2 linked regions of the Rhinolophus ferrumequinum genome follow. The protein of the gene in region 1 interacts with the protein of each later gene in a pairwise test. Links are inferred from orthologs where the notes say so. Each region holds a gene or a part of one and is shown on either strand. Other genes may lie near its edges.

The links.
Region 2: the proteins of DTX3 (region 1) and UBE2L6 interact in binary tests that used the Homo sapiens proteins (3 or more experiments, as listed by UniProt). The link is inferred for Rhinolophus ferrumequinum from reciprocal best matches to the Homo sapiens genes DTX3 and UBE2L6.

Annotation. Positions count from the first base shown.
Region 1 is NC_046293.1:56,555,429-56,566,712, forward strand, and holds the start of DTX3 (probable E3 ubiquitin-protein ligase DTX3), read left to right. Parts: upstream 1-6,493; 5' UTR 6,494-6,740; intron 6,741-7,443; exon of another isoform or gene 7,444-7,591; intron 7,592-8,031; 5' UTR 8,032-8,096; intron 8,097-8,286; 5' UTR 8,287-8,332; coding exon 8,333-8,361; intron 8,362-8,718; coding exon of another isoform or gene 8,719-8,737; coding exon 8,738-9,467; intron 9,468-10,393; coding exon 10,394-10,611; intron 10,612-10,954; coding exon 10,955-11,030; 3' UTR 11,031-11,284. Other genes in the region: PIP4K2C (phosphatidylinositol 5-phosphate 4-kinase type-2 gamma), read left to right, coding at 1,277-1,423, 1,613-1,651, 2,246-2,359, 2,734-3,001, 3,169-3,272, 3,467-3,547. UniProt on the Homo sapiens protein: Regulator of Notch signaling, a signaling pathway involved in cell-cell communications that regulates a broad spectrum of cell-fate determinations.
Region 2 is NC_046294.1:11,572,051-11,583,458, forward strand, and holds the start of UBE2L6 (ubiquitin/ISG15-conjugating enzyme E2 L6), read left to right. Parts: upstream 1-6,322; 5' UTR 6,323-6,425; coding exon 6,426-6,452; intron 6,453-10,066; coding exon 10,067-10,162; intron 10,163-11,408. UniProt on the Homo sapiens protein: Catalyzes the covalent attachment of ubiquitin or ISG15 to other proteins. Functions in the E6/E6-AP-induced ubiquitination of p53/TP53. Promotes ubiquitination and subsequent proteasomal degradation of FLT3.

The sequences.
Region 1 (11,284 bases):
AATGACAGAGCCTGGAGGAGCAGTGGCAATGGCGTTGGAAAGGAAGACTTAGGGGAGAATTGTGGGAATTAAGGCAAACACACCTCCAGTTAGGGATACTGGGGCCCCATTCACCAACAGTTGGGAAGCAGAAAACGAAACAGGTTTTTGGAGGAAGACAGTTCTGGTTTAGACACTTTGAGTTTGGGGTTTCTGCAGTTCATACAGATACCAATGTCCAGTAAAGTGTTGGGGAATGGAGTTCGGGAAAGATGATTAGAGTAGAAGTGTAGATTTGAGAGTTATAGGTGAAGAGGTGGTAATTAAAGCCACAAGTATAGATAAGATTATTGAAGGGAAGTGTGGAGTAAAATGAAAAGTATTGTGCAAAGAATGGTTGAGGATAGAACCTTAAGGAGCAGCTGGAGAAAAGAGCCCCTAAAGAAGACTAAGAGTCAATGGACACTTTTAATTATTTAGGCCCTACTTCATTCCATACAGGATTGGAGGACAGAGAGGAGGGGAATCAGAAGAGTGGTTTAATGGGAGCTGAGGGGGAAGAGAGTTTTAAGGAGAGACTGGTCAGTAGTATCATGTGCTCAGTAGATATATTACAATGACTAGATACTCATTGGATTTGGCAACAGGGATTTGGGGGAGGGAGGAGTAGAGAGATTTCAGAGGAGAAATGAGGGTCTAAGTCTGATTTCACTGGTTTGAGGTGTGAATAAGAGCTAGGAAGTGGATTAATTGCTGACTACTTTTCTGAGAAGGTTGGCTATGAAGAGAAGTAGGCAGCAGTATTGAAGGAGAGAGAGATGGTAACATTGAAAGAGGAATAATTATGTAAGAATCCAAACTACAGGCATCATGCAAACATTTTTACTACAGGAATCTAGCCCAGCAAGAAACATTGATCTAGATAAAATCGGTTAGTTGATAAACATACGTAATTTCTAATCCTGGTTCTGTGACCATCTGCATATAAAGAGGGTCTAAAATAAGGATAATAACACCTACATTCCCCGTCTCAAAGAATGATAGCTATGAAATGAGAGAAGGCACTTTAAAATTGAGCCAGTATGCAAATGAATTAAGCAGAGGAGATGAGGATTCAGAAACTGCAGGGAAAACCAAGGGCGTCTTCAGAAAGCGCCCACCACTTTTGACCTTCTTGTAGCCTCTCTACTTGAAGCTCTCTGCCCACTCGGGAATGGGAGTGTTTGAATGCCCACCCGTGGGCTGTTTGTGTATCTGCTGCTCAGCCTCCCCCTATTCTTTCCTCCCTTCCGCCCAGTACATTGTGAAGTGCCATGGCAACACACTGCTGCCCCAGTTCCTGGGGATGTACCGCGTCAGCGTGGACAGTGAGGACAGCTACATGCTTGTGATGCGCAACATGTTCAGCCACCGTCTTCCTGTGCACAGGAAGTATGACCTCAAGGTAAGGAGAGGAGAGCGAGGGCGGAGGGGGTGCTCCTCATCGCCTGAGAGTGGGAAGGACCCGGGAAGGCACTGGATGATTCCTTTGAAAGAAAGAAGGCTATAGGTTTGAATACTTGTCTTAGGAGCTGGGTGTTGACTGTTCTTTAAGCCACTTCTGCTGACTTCATCTTTGGGTCTCTCTCCACAGGGTTCCCTTGTGTCCCGGGAAGCCACTGATAAGGAAAAGGTGATACTAATTTTAGGGTGAGGGATAGGGGAGGGATGAAGATGAAAGGGATCTTCTTAGGATAAAGAGGCACGTATTACCAGCTATTTATTCTTATCTTAAACCCCTGACTAGGAGAGAGATGTAACCTTGTACCAATCCAGGGATTGTGTGGAAGGGGCAGTGGGAACAGCTGCTTTGTCACTGGCGTGGTTTATTATTCCCTTTGGAAGGTTTGGGGATGGGTGAGAATGTCAGACTTAAAGAGCACAATGCTTACCTCCCACCTCCTACTCTGGCCTCTCCTAGACAAGCAGCTACTTTTGCTTAAGAAGAAAGAAAAGTCAGCATCGAGGGCCTTGATGAAAACCATAAGCAGAAAGTAGTGAGCTGTGATTTGGGGTACATCTACAGTGACTGAGTCTGGGGAAGCCACTGGAAGTGAGAACAGACTGGGGGCCAGCATCCCGGTGTGGAGTCAGATGAGAGAGGGGCTGTCAGGTCTCTCTCTCCTAGAGCCCACTGAGTTCCACATAGAGCCTTAGAGAGAGCAGGGTTCTCTGAGGCCTTGGGGGAAGGGATAGCTTCCCAAGGTGTCCCTTTACCTATTCTCAGGTTAAAGAATTGCCCACTCTTAAGGATATGGACTTTCTTAACAAGAACCAGAAAGTTTATATTGGTGAAGAAGAGAAGAAAGTATTTCTAGAGAAGCTGAAGCGAGATGTGGAGGTGATGATTGGGGTGCTCTGGGAAATGGTCTTGTTTCCTTTCTTGCTTCCCTGGGGGGCAGTTGTCTCTCCATTCACGATCTGAGGGAACTCCTCCCCTTTATTCTTTGGGTTCTCTGCATGTCGGGGAGTTGAGTATGAGACATGAAAAATCCCTAGAGGTGACCCATAGAGGAGGTGGCTGGAATGAGCTAAAAGAATGATCTTAGACACCAGGACATTTTGTTACTAGAGGAAAATGGTATACTCCCAACCCTCAATTTTTATACATCCTTTCTCCAGGAGAGCCCCAGAAATTCAGGGGTGGAGGTATAAGGGTAGTACCTGGGAGTGGGGAGGGAGATCTGGGGTGTCTGATTTATCGGTGGGTCTCAGTTCCTCGTGCAGCTGAAGATCATGGACTACAGCCTTCTGCTGGGCATCCATGACATCATTCGGGGCTCTGAAACCGAGGAGGAAGGGCCAGTGCGGGAAGAGGAGTCAGAGGGGGATGGGGACTGTGGCCTGACCGGACCTCCAGCTCTGGTGGGCTCCTATGGCACCTCCCCCGAGGGTATCGGTGGCTACATCCATTCCCATCGGCCCCTGGGACCTGGAGAGTTTGAATCCTTCATTGATGTCTACGCTATCCGGAGTGCTGAGGGTGAGAGAGATCCTGGAAATTTTGAGGTGGGGATGATGGTCCTTGGGGGATGGAGACCAGGGTGGTGGGTGGAGAGTCCAGTTAGGTTTTCAGAACAGATCTAACTGGTTCCTGGGGAGAGGGAATTGGGACTGTGCTTGTCCTTCATTGCTGGTTACTCTCCCCAGGGGCCCCTCAGAAGGAGGTGTATTTCATGGGCCTCATTGACATCCTGACACAGTATGATGCCAAGAAGAAAGCAGCTCATGCAGCCAAAACTGTCAAGCATGGGGTGAGGGTTCCCCAGGGCCTTTCCTTTCCTGTCTTGAGTTCACTATTCTTTGTGAAGAGAACCTCTTGTGCTAGAGCAGTGGGTGGCAAAAGGATGAAGGGTTGGGTGTAGAAATGATGTGGAATGGAATGGAGTATGGGAAATGGGAGAGTGATGGGGTGACCTGACACCATGTTCCAAATCTCTTCTCACAGGCTGGGGCAGAGATATCTACTGTCCATCCTGAGCAGTATGCTAAGCGGTTCCTGGATTTTATTACCAACATCTTTGCCTAAGAGACTCCATGGTGACTGCTGCTTTATGTTCAAGGTGGTGGGGTTCTTCAGAGAGGCTTGGGGGAATTGTGGATATTCTGGCCACTACTTCTCTTCCTCTTTGCTAAATTCAGGCTACAGGCTCTGTTGAGTAGGTTCTTCGTGGCCCTCAGAAATACATCCTTTCTACCCTTTGTCCAGTTTTCCTCCCTCTCTCCCTCTCCTCCAAGAAGTCTGCTTGATTTGTTAGAGTGTAATTGTTGACTCTCAAGTGCCTTGATCTTTGTAAAATGTCCCGTTGTTTCTGTAACATAGGAGGAGCTGGGGGAAGGGGGTTGTTTGCTGTCTTCAGGACCTGATTGGACAGATGGACCTGGCTCAAGCAACTACTCTGGATGCACTTTGCTGTGTGGGATGAACTAAGTGTCTGAATTTTGCTGATAACTTTATAGAACTTATTATGGAATGCTTCCTTCTGGTAGGCCCTGGGATGGAAGACTTTCATGATACTACAGATGTGGGTGCAGGAATGCACGCATATGATGGGATATGGCCAGTTTCACACACACAAGTGGGGTGGAGAGTGGTCAGCAGGCTGGCACCTCATGCAGGTGGGACCTAAGAGGACTCTTGTGATTATGCAGGGAACTGGAGAAGGTCTCTGTCAAGGATTAACTATTCTCCAATCTCTTCCCTTACCCCACTTCCACTACCACCCCTGTACTTGTGGGTGCAGGAGCCCAGAGATGGATGGCCACAGTGTTCAAGCCTAGGTGAAAGTGTTTGACTTCTGCTGCTCTTCCCCAGGATCACACACCCCCCCTGGCCCTGGAACCCTTTGGTGAGGGTATGGCCAGTTCTGGAGGCTGGGATGATGGGCCAGGGGTATAAGGTAGATTCCGCATGTTAAATTTCCCTTCTTCATGTCTAGCCATCCCTGAAGTTTTATTCCCAGGAGAAGGGAATATCGCTACCTGGGTCAACCCCGGCCATTTTAAGAGGATGGAGGTCTCAATTATGGGAACCTTTTCTGGAGGTGTGTGCCTAGCATACTTCCTTCCCCCACCCACTCTCAAACCCTTTCCCCAGTTGGATTTGTTATTCTGTTCTCTTCTGTCCCGTCTTATACTGCTACTGTGTTTCCCAGGGGACAGATGGCCGCCTTTGTCATCTTCATTCTCCACCCCCAGAGAGGAATCAGAGCCATAACTCAATCACCCTGCCCCCTCCAAAGATAGTTGAGTTGATGCATGATATTCTCAGAATGTAGAGGACCATCATGAGCCCAGATAGCGTCCTCCCCTCCCGCCAATGCCTTTCGGGCTAAGGCAGCCATTCTTGCTATCCTCCATACCCCTTGAGGCTCCTACATTTTTTTCTTAAACACAAAGATGGGCACCAGCAACTGGCCTGTGGGGATGCAAAGATTCTTTTCTCTGTATCTGGCTGGACTGATCTGTCTCACAAGAAGTCATGAGGTCGTAAAGAATTCTTTCTCCCCTCCATCTTCTCCAAAGAAAGAAGAGTCCCCAGTTAAGGATTGGAGCCCCTGTGATATCATCCTGTCTGGAGCCTGATGGATCTTTTTCATTCCAACCATCTACCTTTCCCCTGTTGAATGCAATAAAACTCCATGACACCAGCAACTGTTCTTTAGAAATGTGTTTTCTGACCATGTGGCTAATGTATCATGAGCAGTATGGTCTTCATTTGTTGCTTCTGATTTTCATCTTTTTTTATTAATACAAAAGATCTTGTGTATTTACTCCCATTGCCGTCACTATATAGAAATTAAATTATTGAATCCAAATCCCTTCACAGAAATGCCTCTTTGTTTGTTTGTTTGGTTTGGTTTTCCTTTTCTAAAGAAGCCTGTGCTTAGGGGTACACGGACCAGGTGAAGAATTCTGATCTTTAAGGTACTGGTCCCCTAACTAAGGGTGTGGGTTTCTAGATAGATGGCTGTAAACTTAAAAGTTTGTGAGGATTGTGCATGGGAATGAAAACTTACTCTCCCACTTTGTGGCCGTTCAGCTATAGGGGGGCCAGGGAGAGCTGAAATGATGTGACCTTCCCTTTTCCCCCAGGGTCCTGGGCTTGGTCACATCTCCAACTCTGTAAAGGTGATAGTCTGTCAGCCCAGCAGCTAAAAGAGAAGGAATTCAGTGTTCCCCCAGGCTTCCTGGGAAAGATGTCCTCTGCCTGGAGGGCAGGAAGAGTACAACAGGGTCCTGGGAAAGGGAAGAAAGTGACCAGCCCTCCAGCTCAGAAGGGGAGTGAAGAAAGGGGATGGGTGGCAGAGGTTGTTGCCAGTCTGGAAGACCCAGTATGGCTTGGCCAAGGAGGTCTGGACTGGTGGAAAAACCTGGCTTGATGTGACCCCAGGGAAGTGAGTTGGACTAGGGGCGGGGATTGCTCTGATGTGGGAAGCAGAACTGAGCAGAGTTTTTTTTTTCTTTGAGAGTTTTTAACTCTATTTGAACCATAGACTTGACACTACCACCACCTCATGGCACTTGAAAAAAAAACGTATTCACTTCCCATTCTGCACCAACTTCAGTTTCCCTGTCGTGGAAAGAAAACAATCAGAGAAGCACCAATACCCATCTGGGAGCGGGTTGTGGGGGTCACAATCTAGGAAAAGGCAAGAGATGAGGGATTGAAATAGTTTAGTCCAGGCGTTTGTTTATTTTTTAGATCCAGCGCTTTCCTTTCTACTATGACTCATCCCATATTATTCCTCAAAGACCCTGATAGCATAAGGATCACAAAATAATTGAGCCCTCCTCCCCATCTACCTAGACCAGCACTCCTCTGTAGCTAGAAGCTGCCAAGCAGCTGGCTGGGAAAGAAAAAGCGAGAGGGCTCCTCCGGGAGTGGGTAGCGAGAAAGGTTGCGTCTTGTAACGGATTTAACCTCCTACCCTCAGTTCCACGACGCCACTCCTTCCCTCCAAAGACTGGGAGGGCGCCTCCATTTTTGTTTTGGGGCGGAAGGGCAGGGTCTTGTGGATAGAAGGGGTCAAAGGAAACGGTCATTGTCACCTGGGAGGGGGAGGAGGTGCAGTTCTCCTTCCCTTTCCCTCACAGTCTGCACCCCTTGCACACTACCCCCACCTTCAAGGGGTCTCCCCCCCCCCTTGTTGCTAAGGCCCAGGCCGTCATCCCAGCAACAGCCTCAGTCATGTGACCGGCAATGGCGGCGCTGACGAGAGGTAGGTGAGCCCGGCGCCCCCACACCCACCGCGCGCCCCCCCCGGACCCGCTCGCACCCCTCGTGCGCTCTCCCGCTGCCCTTGTGCCCCCTCCTCTGTTTCATTCCTCCGTGCGGGGCTCCGGGGCCCCCTCCACGTTTGGTGGATCCTCTTTTTGTTATCCTCCAGCCCTGGCCTCCATTTGGGGGTTTTGGGGACTGCGATCGCGCCAACATGCACCCATACCCAGTGGTAGGGCTCCGGGGGGCTCCACGAGATGGGGAGACGGGGACTTGGGGAGTTGGTTCCGGGTCGGGTCTTGCAGGAGGTCGTGGGGGGAGGGGTGCAGCAGGCTCAGCGGATGCCCCCAGGGACCCTTGCCCTTCCCTGCTGCCCCTGCTGTCGGTCCCTGTCTGGAGGGAGGGACTGGCCCCGTGTCCCGCCTGGGTTGCCCCAGAGGAATCTAGAGACCCAGCATAAACTGGCCCCGCCTCCCTTTTCTGTGCCATCAGGACTTGGAGCTAAGGACACCTAGGTCCTGGCTTCTCTCTGATGAGGGGTGGAGGGTGTTCCACCTGGATAGACAGTACGAGCTGAGGCTCTAGGGGTTCCAGTTTCACTTTCTGAATCTCGAGGTGCATCTGGCCTTGAGGGGTCTATGACAGAGACACAAACGAAGAGCCGCTCCCCTTGGGATCACTCATGGCCCCTCTTTCTATTTGAGCTGCATTTGGAGGTTGTAGGTGCTGAACATGGCAAGACTCAGGGGAAACCTCAGACTCCTCCGGCGGAGCCTCCGCGTGAGCCCCACCCCTCCCTAAATGCAGACTAGATTGCTGACCGGCTTGCACTTCGTGTGCTGGGTTTGAAAGGTGACAGTGAGAACTTTGTTATTGCAGGGGCTGCTGCCACTTAGTTTCCATTCCAAACGGACTTCAGCAGAAGGGACTGGTTTGGCTCTCAAGGAAGGCTCCCCAGCAATAGGGACTGAATTATCTGGGAATGTGGAGCACAGGAAATATTCCTGTCCATGGGATCTGAGGGAGGTGGCAAGAAAGACCTTCATCTGTGTGGGCTTTCCCCTCCCTGACTTACCTATGCTCTAGGATTTCTTGAGAGCCTCAGAGCTGGGGAAGAAAAGAGGAAAGTTAGCATGTTGAAATTCCTTATTTAACAACTTGGGGAGAGGCTGGGGATGGAATTCTGCAGGAGATAAGGAGAGGTAATGAAAGTTTTTGTTTTGTCTCTGGGCAGACTGGGGAAAATGGTAACATATGTCATCATAACCCTTTACCCTCCCCCCTCCCTCCAGTCCTGGTCAGCTGAGTGTGGGAACAGAAGGATTTCTGCTTCTGTCATCGTCCATGAGCTTTCCAGGTATCTGCCTCCTGAGGGAACCTCAGCTTTCACCTTTAAGTTGGTTTCCTCCATTCTATGTTCAAGTAATGCCATTCCCACTAATTTACACCCAGGTTCCCATCTCTGGTATGTGGGCTGCTGGGTTGGGGCATATGGGAAGAGGGAAAGGGGTTTCTCACTTACCCTCCTTTTCCTGTCCACCTACCAGGTCACACCACCTACAAGTAGGGAGCAGGGACAGAGAGAGAGCCTGCATGCCATTTCTAAGCTCTTCAGGATCAAAGTGAGCAAAAAGGAGGGTCGAAAAGTCTCCCTCTCTTTTACAGAACCCAGTTTTCGCCCAGGGAGAGGGAGGGGCAGATTGTTTCTGTGATCTTGGGAGGAGTGAAAGGAGAACCAAGACTGATGCTTGGCTTAGATGAGAATAATAATGTTTAGAAACTTCCTTACTCTTCTGTGGGTGCCGGGGTTTGAAAGAAGAAGAGATAGAAAAAGGAAAAGAACTTGGGGGAAGAGTTGGAGGTTGGACTTTGAGAAAGTAGAGATAATTTAGGGTTGGAAAAGAACCTGAAGTAGGAGGTACTGATATTTGTCAAATGGGGACCCCCCCCACCCTGAGTCCCTTTCACCCTGGGGGCAGTGTCGTTCGTCCTGTCCAGAATGGCAGCCTGTGGAGGCACCTGCAAGAACAAAGTGACTGTCTCCAAGCCTGTGTGGGACTTCCTGAGCAAGGAGACCCCAGCCCGGCTGGCCCGGCTTCGGGAGGAGCATCGAGTGTCCATCCTCATAGATGGCGAGACTTCTGACATCTATGTTCTCCAGCTTTCCCCACAGGGCCCTCCCCCAGCCCCTCCCAATGGGCTCTACCTGGCCCGGAAGGCTCTCAAGGGGCTGCTAAAAGAGGCAGAGAAAGAGCTGAAGAAAGCTCAGAGGCAGGGGGAGCTTATGGGCTGCCTGGCTCTGGGGGGTGGGGGAGAGCACCCTGAGCTGCACCGCCCAGGCCCACCCCCTCTCCGAGCAGCCCCACTCCTGCCCCCAGGGGCACGGGGTCTCCCCCCACCTCCTCCTCCCCTGCCTCCTCCTCTTCCTCCCCGCCTTCGGGAGGAGGCAGAAGAGCAGGAAAGCACCTGTCCCATCTGTCTGGGGGAGATCCAGAATGCCAAGACATTGGAGAAGTGCCGGCACTCATTCTGTGAAGGCTGCATCACCCGGGCCCTGCAGGTGAAAAAGGCCTGCCCCATGTGTGGCCGCTTCTATGGGCAGCTGGTGGGCAACCAGCCCCAGAATGGGAGGATGCTGGTCTCTAAGGACGCCACGCTCCTACTGCCCAGCTATGAGAAATACGGCACCATCGTCATCCAGTATGTCTTCCCACCCGGTGTCCAGGGGGTAAGGAGACTTCGGCCTGCCCTTACCCTTTGGTTTTTACCCCAAGCTCCTTCTCTGACCTAGGAAAGCTGGGGGAGGGGAGTGTGTTTGTTAGATGTGATACAGTCTTGCTGCCTTCCAGAAGGCATTCCCATTCAGTGCCCTGGAGTTAGGAGGTCCCCTTGAGGTCCAACTTTTCCATCCCCACGACCCCAAGGCACACATGAAAATCAGGTATGAAAGAAAGGAATTGAGTACTATTTCCTTGATGAACTTGGATACCAACAACTATTCTTGGCAGAGGTGAATTCTCTGGAGATGGTGGCTCAGATGCAGGCATGCACAAGCAGGAAGGGATCTGACCCTCCTAACTAGGAGTGTTACTCCATTCCAGATTTATGAGAGAGGAAAACCTCAATGACAGTGGAAGTTTAAAACAGAAATGTTCAAGAGCCTATAGTTGTCTTCCTGCTTGACAAAGAGTAATTTCCAGTTCTTTTCAGAGGGATGAGGAAGCTCTGAAGAAGAGTAATAGAAAAATGGAACAGGTTAGACAGTGCAAGAAGTATTGGGAGTGTTTTCAGGTGGAGAAGGGAAGGCTGAAAGATAAATTATTCTCAGTCTTCACATTTCTGCTGAGTTTTCTGGAGAGTAAGGACCAGCTACCTTCCATCACTTCTGAGAATCCATTTGTTGCTGAATTGAGACTTGAGGGATTGAGATGGGGAGAAAGAACTCTTAACAATAAGGGTTTTGTCCAGACACAGGCTCCTGCTGCCCAGACCCTAGAGTCTCTCCTTCCCTGAAAGGCTGTCAGCCTGTTCTTGCCCTGTCAGCATTAGCTGGGCGTGCACAGACAGAAGGCTGGCCAGCATGACCTTCCACTGGCATCGTGGCCTTAAGATGCCCAGCTGCTCATTGCCTACTTTGCTTCCCCCTCCTCCCAGGCTGAACACCCAAACCCAGGAGTTCGGTATCCTGGCACCACACGGGTGGCCTACCTCCCGGACTGCCCTGAGGGCAACAAGGTGCTGACCCTGTTCCGCAAGGCGTTTGACCAGCGTCTCACCTTCACTATTGGCACGTCCATGACCACAGGGAGACCGAATGTCATCACCTGGAATGACATCCACCACAAGACCAGCTGCACAGGGGGACCCCAGCTGTGCGACACTCCTTCATTCCCCTTTCTTTGGCTCTGCCCCTTCGGTCCATTTCCACTGAGGGAACAACATCAACCCCCTCCTTCTGGGAGCCTCCTAACTGGAGAGGACCACCCCCAAATTATTCAACCATCTCTTCCATCCCAGTTTCTCCTACATTCAACCTGGTCCTGATGTGACCAGCTTAACCTATAGAAATAATTGGGCTAAATTATCTTGGGTTTGGATTACTTTAGGGAAGAGGGAGTGGGGCCACAGTGGGGCACCCAGAATGAGAGTGAGCATGGGGGTAATATGAGTAAAGCCGAACAGCTAACCCTGACCCTCATTTCTCTTTGCTCCCAGGTTTGGGTACCCGGACCCCACCTACCTGACCCGAGTGCAAGAGGAGCTGAGAGCCAAGGGTATCACAGATGACTGAAGGACATCCCCTTTGCCAAGGCCCCTGCCATTCTCTTCCACTAGGACCCAACGGAAGCCTCTGTTCTCCTCTCTCCCTCTGCCCCCCCAATCACAGAGTAGGGGACCTGTCTGCCTAGGGAAGGAGTTCAGAGAGGGAGGGGGTAATCCCTTCCCCTGTCCACCCACAGGCCAAGTGCTTCAGTGCACTGTGAGCCACTCCCTTCTGACAGATGCTGATCTGGAAGGCTCTGCTTCCCTCCTCCCCTTGTACAT
Region 2 (11,408 bases), on another chromosome or scaffold:
TAACTATAATAATGAATCCATCTGGATTTTATTCATATTTATACCAATATAGTCATGAAATGTAATTTTTAATCTTTTTTTTTTTTTTTTAATGAAGAAAGGGGCCCCCAAGGTGAAAGTGCCTAGGGCCCCTGAAAGTCAGAATGCAGCCCTGGAATGAATGTACCTATAAAAGAAACGCCAGGAGGAATTCAGTGCGGGAGAAGAAAGTCTAATAGTCATACTGAATTGAGATAGAGAAGGACGACAGCATATTAAAATTGATAACCAAATTTGTCATTTGACTAAATTGTTACTGAAGCAGGTTAGTTAGCATGGTTGGTTATTTAGACAGGAAGGTCCCTGGTGGAATAAACAAAAAACAGCCATATCCTGAAATTCCAGGTTCTGGAATATCTCCTTCACTCCAGGACAAAGATATGAGACTGCGCCTTGAGGTTAATAAATTATCTCAAATCCCTTTTGGCCGGACAAAGGAGCAGATCTGATAGATAGGAATGGGTTGGTTCGTTAATCCCTTCAGGATGAGCAAACAGGACAAACCTGATAGATGAATTCCAGTAGAAGTCTCCAGCCCCCTTCCCCAAACAGGCAAGGGAAGGTATAAAAGTAAGAACTTTTGCCTCAGTCACTGGGCTTCCCAGTTTTGGGTACCCCTTCCCGCTCGGGAGCTGCAACCTCTTCCCCTGCCTCTAATAAACTATCTTCCTTTAGAACTTTTTGCCTCTCCCTAGTCCGTGTGTCCATTCTTGGATTCAGGCGACACGATCCCAGCCCACACCCAGAAACTGTCGACAGATCCAACATCATTTACATCATTACTTCAGATGAAACTTGTTTTACTTTTCCTGGAGTTTTCCTGAATATTGTTTTCTGTAGAGTTGCTTTTATACAGATTATTTAGCAAAGTTCAGGTTTCAGAGAATTGATTTGGCTCAATAAGTTTAGGTTCTGCTGTTTTCCACCTTTCTATCAATAAAACTTATGGTATTATAAAAGCAAAGAAAGAAATATGCTGAACAAAGCTATCAGATTTTAATTACATTCAGTCCCCTAACTTAGTCATTCTAACACAATTATTCGATTTGAGGTGGTTGTTCTGGTGTGTCCTGAGCTTTGTGTGATCTGCCTCAAGGCTATGATCTGGGCAAGCAGGAGAGACACTCTGTTCTGTATCATGTCAGGAAAAGTGCCTTTTGGCTATGTTTAAAGGACAGGACCAACTTTAGGTTCCCTAAGGAGCCAGCTATAGAAAGCTTAGGACACTGCTGTCTTGCAGGCAGCACTAAAGTAGATTTTCAGCCTCTTCAATACCAAGGCCATCCCTACCAGTTGAGCTCCACATGGAGAGATCTTAATGGGACCTTCTCAGTGAATGGAATCAGAGGAGTCCTCTGTAGTGAGTAATTCTGAAGCAATCCTTTCCTGGAATAATAGTCTACCTGAAGACAAAGTTTACATCCAGATATTTACATATATATATATATATATATATATATATATATATATATATATTTACATATATATATCCCTATACTTGGGAGATTGTCATAGTGTAAATCAGGAACAGCCTTCTCGTTAGTGACAATCTTGTAATAAAACTCAGGAAACAAGACAATAGGAATTGGCTTCCAGGGACCTGAACCTTTCTGCCCATACGAGTGTTGGTTCATTTCCATGCTTTTTATGATTTCTGCCATTGGCAGAAATTTTCATACTTTCTATGTTTGGTTTTTAAATGACTCAATTTTTTATTATTAAAAAATAGCACATTTGAGTCCATTGAGAAAATAGAAAAAGTAGAAGTTGCTGTTAACCTACTGCATTGACGAAGAAAGCAATGGCATCCCAGTCATTTCCTTGATTGTTGATGAGGTTAAATATTCGTCTTTTTTGAGTAGCTGTGTTTCCTTTTTGATCAAATATTGATGTCCTTTGTCTTTATAGTACCTATTGGAGTTGCTTTTTTTTTTATATCAAGTTGTAGGAACTCTTTATATAATAAATATAATTTAAGTGGCAAAAAAAAGAGAGAAAGAAACATCATGAAAATAGAATGATGTTACTAAATTCTAGTTGATTCTGCTTGCTGAAATCTCTGTACCTCCTTCCTTCCGTGCCTCCACATTCCTTGTGAAAAAGGGAAATTAACATGTGTTAGGTGTGAAAGACTGACTACCACCAAACTGACACTTTGTCCTTGAGAAATCAAGAAGGACCAGACAAGACTAAAAAAGAAAAAGCTTCTTCAATCTGCGATTTATTGTGATTTAGTACCACCTAAAATTGCTTGACACCCCTTCAGTGGGTTCATCCCGTACCTGGGGGACACCGGATTTGTTGGTGATGGAGACGACGATGATAATTGATTATTATATTATCATGGTCCAGAATTTTTATGAGTGCTCACTCTATGTCAGGCCTTGGGCTAAAATTTTGCATATTAAAATCTCACGTAATCCTGACTTTGGGAATGAGGTATTATTATCTCCATTTTATAGGTAAACTAAAGCTTAGAGAGGTAAGTAACTTGCCCCAAATCACTTAGAAAATGTCAGAGCTTTAATCCAGGTCTGATTGACCCTGAATTCCATGTTATTTATCTCTAGGTTATGCTTCCTATTTTTGTTTCCCTCTTTTAATTTTCTTTGAAAAACATATTGTATGCATTTATAGTTTTGAATGGATAGTTATTCACATGGTAGAGAATTTTAAAAGTACAAAACAGTGGAAAGGAGGTCTCCTTCCTACCCCATCCTAGGACACACAGAATGGATAAACCACTCATTAGTTTCTTAAGCATCCTTCCAGATGAGTCTACAACTCATTAAAGATAATTTTCAGAAAAAGGCAAAATCATGCCTCTCGTACAGATATAAAATGGACACATGTTCAAGACTTCATTCTACTCATTAATCAACAAGGGAACCAGGCAGATGTCAGAATTAAAGAGAATCTGAAAACAGACACATTTGTAGATCAAGAATATTGAAATAAACATGTAAATAAAACAAAACTGGTTTTTCCATGGGGTGGGGAAAAGAAAGTCAATTAAACTTCTGTTGGACAGAAAGAATTTGCAGGTCTATAAGAATTATTTTGCATGCTATAAGTTACTACAATTTAGGGAGTTGTACAATAACTCAAAGATGATGAAAGGCAGACAATCTGAAAAAGGTGTACTGTATGTAAGGCAACATTTTTTCCCTCCCAAACCGATAACTACTTTATCAGGTTCTTAAGTATCCTCCAGGTTAGTCTCTAACATGCAAACATAAATGTACAGAAGGTGCCAAAAAAATGCATACACATTTTAGGAAAGGAAAACTGTATTAAAATTGTAATAATATATACCATAACAAACAATGAATACAAGTCACGTTTGACTTCTGCAATTACAAGAAGTGCTCAAAGTGGTTACCATCAGCGTGCAGGCACTTCTGATTACAGCGAACTACTGCTTGAGCAACGTTGACCAAAGTCTCCACTTGTATACATTTTTTTGGCACCCACGGTATCTACTGGAGTCTATAAATCACAGCTGAGGTGCCATATTGTCTATGGTGTCTGAAAAGTATTTTTTTCCCAACTCTTTTTCAGATGGTCTCTGTGACCTCTGGCAACAACAAGAGCTGTCAAAAAGGAAAGTCCTGCCTCATCCAAGTGTAGAAGATGACAATTTTTCCCTGTGAAGTCCCTGGAAGGGTCCTGACCAGGAACAAAGCACTGTCACACCTTCCAGCCAGGTACACTTCCCTGTTTGCAAAGGCCACAGCCATCATGGGGCATGAAAAAGCCCGACCCTGGGCAAGAAAGGAAAAGAGAGGGTTTGAGAGATAGCAAGTTAGTAAGTGCAAAGAGACTCCAGAGCCGGGGATCCTTACAGGGTTAGGCAGCTAAAAAAGCAGATGAGGCTGGGCAGGCCAGGAAAAACACTGTGGTGAGGACCGTGGTAAACTGGGACCTGCATTCCTGCTCTAAAGGAGCAACCCTGACTAGGCTCCAGCCAACCATTGCCGTGAGGGGTCATTGCCAAGTCTCCTGTTTTTAGAGAATCCAGGAATACAAATTTTTATGCAAAAACCTTTCAGTTTTAAAGAGAGAATATTGTAAAATTTAAATGTTATTGATTTTTGAAGAGGTAGTTTATTTACATGTTTCAAAAATTTGAAAGGAGGGGCTGGCCCGGTGGCTCAGGCAGTTGGAGCTCCAGTGCTCCTAATGCCGAAGGCTGCTGGTTCGATTCCCACATCGGCCAGTGGGCTCTCAACCACAAGGTTGCCAGTTCGACTCCTCGACTCCCACAAGGGATGGTGGGCTGTGCCCCCTGCAACTAACAACAGCAGCTGGACCTGGAGCTGAGCTGCGCCCTCTACAACTAAGACTGAAAGGACAACTTGACTTGGAAAAAGAACTGGATATACACACTGTTCCCCAATAAAGTCCTGTTCCCCTTCCCCAATAAAATCTAAAAAAAAAAAAATTTAAAGGAAATGGGATTTTAGTGAAAAGTGTTCCTCCCCATCCCATACCCAGTCACCTAGTTACCCTCCCCAAAGACCATCACAGTCTCTCATATCCTTCCAGACATGCTACAGGCATACAGAGGCAAATATTACATTATTATGACTATCACTTATTGTCCAAATATCAATTCATTACTCCTCACATTCACTATTATTAGCTCCACTTTACAGATGAGGAGATGGAGGCACCGACTGGTTAAGTAATTTGCCCAAGTTACTCAGCCAATAATAGTAGAGCTGGGACTGAATCCTGATTATTTATATCTGGGAATTACAATTTTCAAAGTTCCTCCACTTCTGTGAACTGAGCCTGGCAGTGGCCCTGGGAAGCAGGTGGGAGGTTCCACAGCCCACCCAAGGCCATGTGGCACTGGGGTGCAAATGTAGAACTAACAAGAGTCCAGGTCTCCTTGGGACTCATTCTTACACACAAAGGTCTGTACTGTGTAAGGATATGAAGGGCCATGCACATGGGCCTTCCAGCTGTGTGGGTGGTTAGGATCCATCCCAGGATGGGGAGGCTGAGCTAAATCCACGACTTTGAATTTACTCTGGGGATGCAGGACTTCTGTACGAGAAAGGAAGGTGCTGGACAGACTTTGTTCCACATTATGGAACTGCTTTCAGTTTCCATACATTGCACCTTTGCTTGCGCTGTTCCCTCATCTGGGAACACCCTCATCCCACGTTTTTACTCTAGCTAACTCACTATGCTTTGCAATTCACTTGGATTTTTTCTCTCCCAGGATACCTTTGCCCCCCCCTGAGGCTGCATCAGGTGACCCTCCTCCAGGCTCCCACAGCATCAGATGGTTCCCCATATATATCCTGTGCTTAACCACTTTGCATGAAAAATGCATTCATCCTCAAGGACAAGGAGCCCACTTTCTCATCGTGCTGTTCCCTAAAGTCAGTGCCTGACACTCAGTATAGTACATGCATGCTAATGCCCCCCCAACTGTTTTTCCAATCCTCACATAGTAGACACTTGACTAACTATTAAACCTAAGAACCCAAACCCTAAAGCAAGAGCGAATGGGTCCAAAAGCGCCTCCTTGCGGTGCTCTTCACCAAGCAAACCACCTGGGGGAAAGAAACGTCCTTGTATTTGGGCCACCGAAGGCTGCACCTCACAAAGGATCTCAAGCTGCCAGGGGAGGAGTGCTTGGAGGGCGTATAGTTTGCGTCGTCCCTACCCATTTTTAGAGATGGGGCATTGGGCCCAGAGAGGGGAAATAACTCGTCGAGGGGGCTCCGGGAATTCGCTGGCGTCTGTGTGTGTGTGGGGGGGGAGGGAGCCTCCGGGAATTCGCTGGCGGGTGTGTCTATCTGTGTGTGTGTGTGTGTGTGTGTGTGTCTTTGGGCCGCGGACTGATGGTGGAGTCCGCCGAACAGTCGGGAGCTGCGTTTGCATAGCCAACATCCTGTATTGACTTAGGGAGACTGTGTGTTTGGGGCGGCGGGGAGAATGGGGCCTCCCTGCACGGCGTCCGGCGGTGGAGCGTGAACCAGAATCCGCGCTGGAACCAGAACCCGGATGGGTAGACCCCAGCCCCGCGCCTCCGAGCGCTCACATACTGGTGCACAGCGCCCCCCAGTGGGATACAGGGATCCGGCCACGTCGCCTGCTCCTACGCCTTCGGGGTCCTCCGACAAAAAGCGCGAGATCCGGGGACCCGAGCCCACTGCGCCGCGGACCGGGCCGGGGCCCGCAGGGTCCAGCCCTCGGCGGCTCCCAGTGTCAGTCAAGGAGGCGGGGATCAGCTCCGTACCGCCCGGCGTGCGCACCAGTGGGCGGCGCGCGGGCGGGGCCCCCGGAGGTGGCGTCTCGGGGGCGGGGCGCCACCAAGCCGGAGGACAGTCTCGCTGGACTCGCTGGGTCCCACGCTCCGCGCCGAGATGACGGCGAGCAAGCGGGTGGCGAAGGTAACTGTGTGGACGACCCCTTTCTCCCGGCTCCCCTCGCTCTTCCCACCTCCTCCTCCCTCCTCTCTCTCCCCGACTCCCCTTGAGCATTTGTTTGTCCGGGTTGCGAGGCTGGCGGAGCCCTGTCATCCCCGCCCCCTCCCCGAGGAGGAGTGGGTCTTCCGGAGGGGCCAGAGCTGGAGTTTTGAGGGGCGAGGGCACGTCCGGCGGGGGTGTTGTTGGCTCCCGGAACTGCGCTGCGGATGGGGATTGAGCCTGTTCCCGCAAACTGGTTTCAGTTTCTTTTCTCCTGCCAGAAACTTGTGATTACAATTGCTTGCATCTCAGGTGACCAAGGGATTCAGGAGCCACGCTCTCTACTGGGGGTGGTTGGGGGGCGGAGGTGGGTGGGTTATGAACAGAGATAACCAGGACAAGGTCCTTGCCTTGGAATGGCCGAGGACCCACTCTTTAATTTGGTACCTACATTTGGAATCTAGAATCCTGAGAAGTCTGGATGTTGAGTAGGAGTCAGGAGCTAGGTACCCGGGGTTTTCCAGGGAGGAAAAGCTGCCAAGGCAGACCAGCAAGGTGTCCTGGAGTAGGTGTGTGCATTCACTCATTCTACAAGTGTTGAATGCCTACTGTGTGCAGGCTCCTATTCTAGGCAGAGATTAGCAAAAATCCTGCCCTCGCTGAGCTTTCTTTCCAAATAGGGAAACAATTTGAAGGGAAGGTTTGGAAGGATAGGGAGGGGAGGATTTCCCCCAGGAGGTGGAAAAACCCAGGGTGTTTGCAGGGCTGGGGTATACCGGGCAGATGGAGATAGATGGGGAAGGAAGAGCAATCTTAGTGAAGTGGGTCAGATATCCCCCGGACTTTGAGTCCCTGAAAAGTGCCCCTCCAACGTGCAGGGTGCAGGGGACAGAGTGAGGGGGGTAAAAGGGAGTGCCTGCTGTCCTCAGCCTCTGAGAAGAAAATGGTCTCATACTGGGGCACCCAGCGCAGGCGCAACCCAGAACTGGAGGCTGGCAGCAAAACGGGGCAGAGAATCTTGCCAGCCAAACTGGAAAGAGCTAGGAGCCAGTATTTGGTATTTATCCCACTGGCACAATTAAGTGACAAGCCATTTACATTACTTATTTCATCTTACTCTCACAGCAACCCTGTGACATAAGTCATATACCCCCATTTTACGGATGAGGAAGTTGAGGCTCAGAGAGAATGACTTAGATGTCATGGTCAGCCAGTAGGGAGTGAGGGAGCTGGGATTTGAGCCCAGGTTAGTGGCCTCTCTACTTTCATTTTCTGTTCCTCTGAGTCAGGTGATTTCCTCACAGGCCTCAGGAAAGAACTGTGTGTGCTCACTGGGGTTTCAACATCCTTAGCTTGGGGAAAAGTTGGAAAGAACACATCTATAACTGATAAAGTCCAAGTGTTCCCAGTTACAGTAAAATCAGGAAGTGTTCATCCCACAGCTTCTTCATTCAACCTTGGCCTTGCCAAAGAGAGCAGATGATATTGGAACTAGGACTTGAAGTAGCAGATGCTTCTAGTTTGGGGTAAAGATAAATGAGGGTAATGTCTAACCTCTATGCTGTACACCTGAAACTAAACATAGTATTTTTTTTTTAATTTTATTGGGGAATACTGGGGGACAGTGTGTTTCTCCAGGGCCCATCAGCTCCAAGTCGTCGTCCTTCAATGTAGTTGTGGAGGGCGCAGCTCAGCTCCAAATCCAGTTGCCGTTTTCAATCTCAGTTGCAGGGGGCACAGCCCACCATCCCATATGTGAATTGAACTGGCAACCTTGTTGAGAGCTCACGCTCTAACCAACTGAGCCATCCGGCTGCCCCTCTGGAAGCTCAGCGGCAGCTCATTGTCTTCAATCTAGTTGTGGAGGGCGCAGCTCACTGGCCTATGTGGGAATTGAACCGGCAACCCTGTTGTTCAGAGCTCGTGCTGTAACCAACTGAGCCAACTCGGCCGCCCCGAAACTAACATACTATTGAATGTCACCTGTAATTGGGAAAAAAAAAAGATAAATGAGGATCATAGAATATACTCTGGGCAGAAAACGCAAGAAGCAGTTTGTTGGTATGAACAGAGATGGAGTATGTGCTAGAAGCTAGCAATGGAGAACAGGGTGTGTTTATATATGGGGCCGTAGAGAAAGTTTAGGTGGTCCACAGTGTTAAAGGACCCCTCCCCAACCATGGAAGGGCTGTGGGAAGCTTCGTCTTTGCCTTTTATTTATACCAGTGTTCCTCAACCTCATCACCATTGACATTTGGGCCAGATAAATTGTTGTAGGATGTTTATGAGTATCCCTGGCCTCTACCCACTAGATGCTAGTAGCACTTTCTCATTTGTGACAACCAAAATGGTTCTAGATAGTGCCAAGTGTCCCCTGTGGGGGTAAAATTGCCCCCAGTAGAGAACCACTGGTTTACAATTATTTGGTGTTTCAGAGGATAAGACCTGCCCTTGAATGTCCTTTAATCTTGAATCTTGTAATTGCCCTCCCCCCCAATAAAAAGAGGCCTGTCGTTCCACAGGATGGACTCTGGAAGGGCTCCTTAGTCAAATAAGTTTGGGAAGTACCGCATGCTGTGGGCTCACATCTTGGAGATTCATGATACACAATAGCATATTAAATAAAGACTTTGGGAAGTCCTACAGTAAAGAAATCTGTTTAGCTTAATGTTTCCCAATGTACTTGACCATGGGACCCTTTTCCTGTAATAACTATTACCCTTGCCTATATAGTACACACTTATGCACATTTACTCTGACCGGGCCCTTTGTCTTGGTTCCTCTCCCCATTTCTGCATGGTGGGCTTTATTTTATTCCGCGTGGCCCAGCTCATTGTCACCCTGCACGAAGCCTTCTTGTTGCCTTCTCCTTTCCTTCCCCATTATGTCTCCACACATTGTCCACCTAAGCACATTCCTGTTTCCACCATTACTCCGATGAAGTTTCTGAGAGCTGGGCTCTGTCTTAGTCCAGTGTCCGTAGAGGATGCTCAGGAAAGGGCTGATGGGAGAATTCCAGGTGATTGGGCCACATTTCTGAGAAGGTGGGTCACTCCTGTCCCCTTGTTTCTCTGCTTGGTGTATAGAGTTCTGCTCTGCTGCGGTGCATCTGAGTCATTGCCCTTCCCCAGCGCGGGACGGGAGGAGTCTGACAGGCATGAGTTGACGTCTCTGCTGCCACGAGCACTGTAAGGGCATGTCATCATGCTGGACACTCAGTGGACGCTATGGAAGGAAGGGAAAGAGGGAGGGTATTAGGACCTTGTGACTCTCTAGGAAAAGGACTAGAGGACAGAGGTTAAGTGCCTTGGTTTCAAGAGGAAAGGCTCCAAGGAGAGTTGACTTTCAAGTCCTCACCTTCTGTATATTCCTCCCCGTACCTCCAGACCTGTGCTGAGGCTAACATTGGAGAAATCACTTACAGCACGTGGCACCGGGCATGACACATACCGAGTGCGCCAGAAAATGGGGGCTCTGACTTTGCCGGCTTCTGTCTCCTAGGGTGTCCTGTGTGGGACTTGGCACAGCTTGTGCTGGGGCAGGGGGCGGTGGCTGAAGTAGGGAAGACTAGCCAGTTGCCCTTCACTGTGTCCCCACAGGAGCTGGAAGATCTGCAAAAGGAGCTTCCCAGGTACCTGCGGAACCTGGTCAGCGATGATGCCAACGTCCTGGTGTGGCACACACTCCTCCTTCCTGTGAGTGGCCCCAGGATCATGGCCGTGGGTCGAGGTGACTGAGGCTAGGGCCTGGGCAGGGAGGGTTAGGATGGGCACAGTTTTCCCTGCCTTAGAGTCCTTCTTTTTACTCCCTCTGTCATTGGCAGAGGGAGTCTCTCTCTGGAGTGATTGCTTCTGAGGCTGAGGCCAACTGATGAAAAACTAAAAGACTTTTGGACTTAGCAGGAGATTCCTTCCTCAAACGGGTAGCTGCCAAACCTACCACAGAAGCTTCAGCAGACAAACAGCATCCAAAAAATAAATAAATAAATAAATAAGATCTTTTGGATCTTTGTGAAGGGAGAAGGATAAACTTCCTTTTTCCCACAGTTGGTAGAGGGTAAAGAGTAGCTTCCCAAATTATGCCAACCTTGAAATGTTATCCAGACATTTGTTATGTCAAGATCATTGTGATGCTGATCTCTTGAACACGAGAGGCATCAGTAAAAGGTTGTCAAAATAATCATGTTTTCAAAAAAAGTTATTTTTCTTAAATATTTAAAACAAAATTTAAAAGGCAAAATATAAATGATAAATAATAAACATCAAATTTTAAGATTAAAATTATTTTACAAGAGCTGAGTTGTCATTTGGTTGACTCTTGTGACATATGTTTATAAAAATTATTTGCAATTTTAGCATTCAGTGTCAATTGGAATTATGCTACCCACATTGCACCTAGACCTACATATTCACAAATTTAAGAGTAATATTGCACAGTGTTCCTCAGCCAAGTACAGTTGTTGTGAGTTCAGTGCTAATCTGAATACCTTCCAGGCCACAAATTGAAAGCAAGAAAATGGACTACTGGGAAACGAAATTTATTATATAAGAATCTATTGCGTTTATGCTATCAGAAAATAAAGATTTGATAAATTAACAAAAAAAGTTTGTTAGAATATAGCATATTTCATCCCATATCCTGAAGGGGTCAGGGATAACGGACACAAAAATGAGTGAACTGAACTGAGAATATTTTTTTCAAGAGGGGATTCTCCAATGATATTAGTGCTTCATTATATTGGAGTAGTGCTGTTCAAATGTCAAAGCTCACAGATAAGATGCAAAAATCTTTTAGCTTTTTCTGAGGCTGCACCCATGGCCTTGTCTCTGCTTCCCAGGTCCCAGCCCCTTCTTGTTATCAGGGACAAGAAGGTGAGATGTTTTCTTTATCTTTGCAGTAGTTGCCCCGTCTCTTATTTCAGACACACCCAAGACCATAATG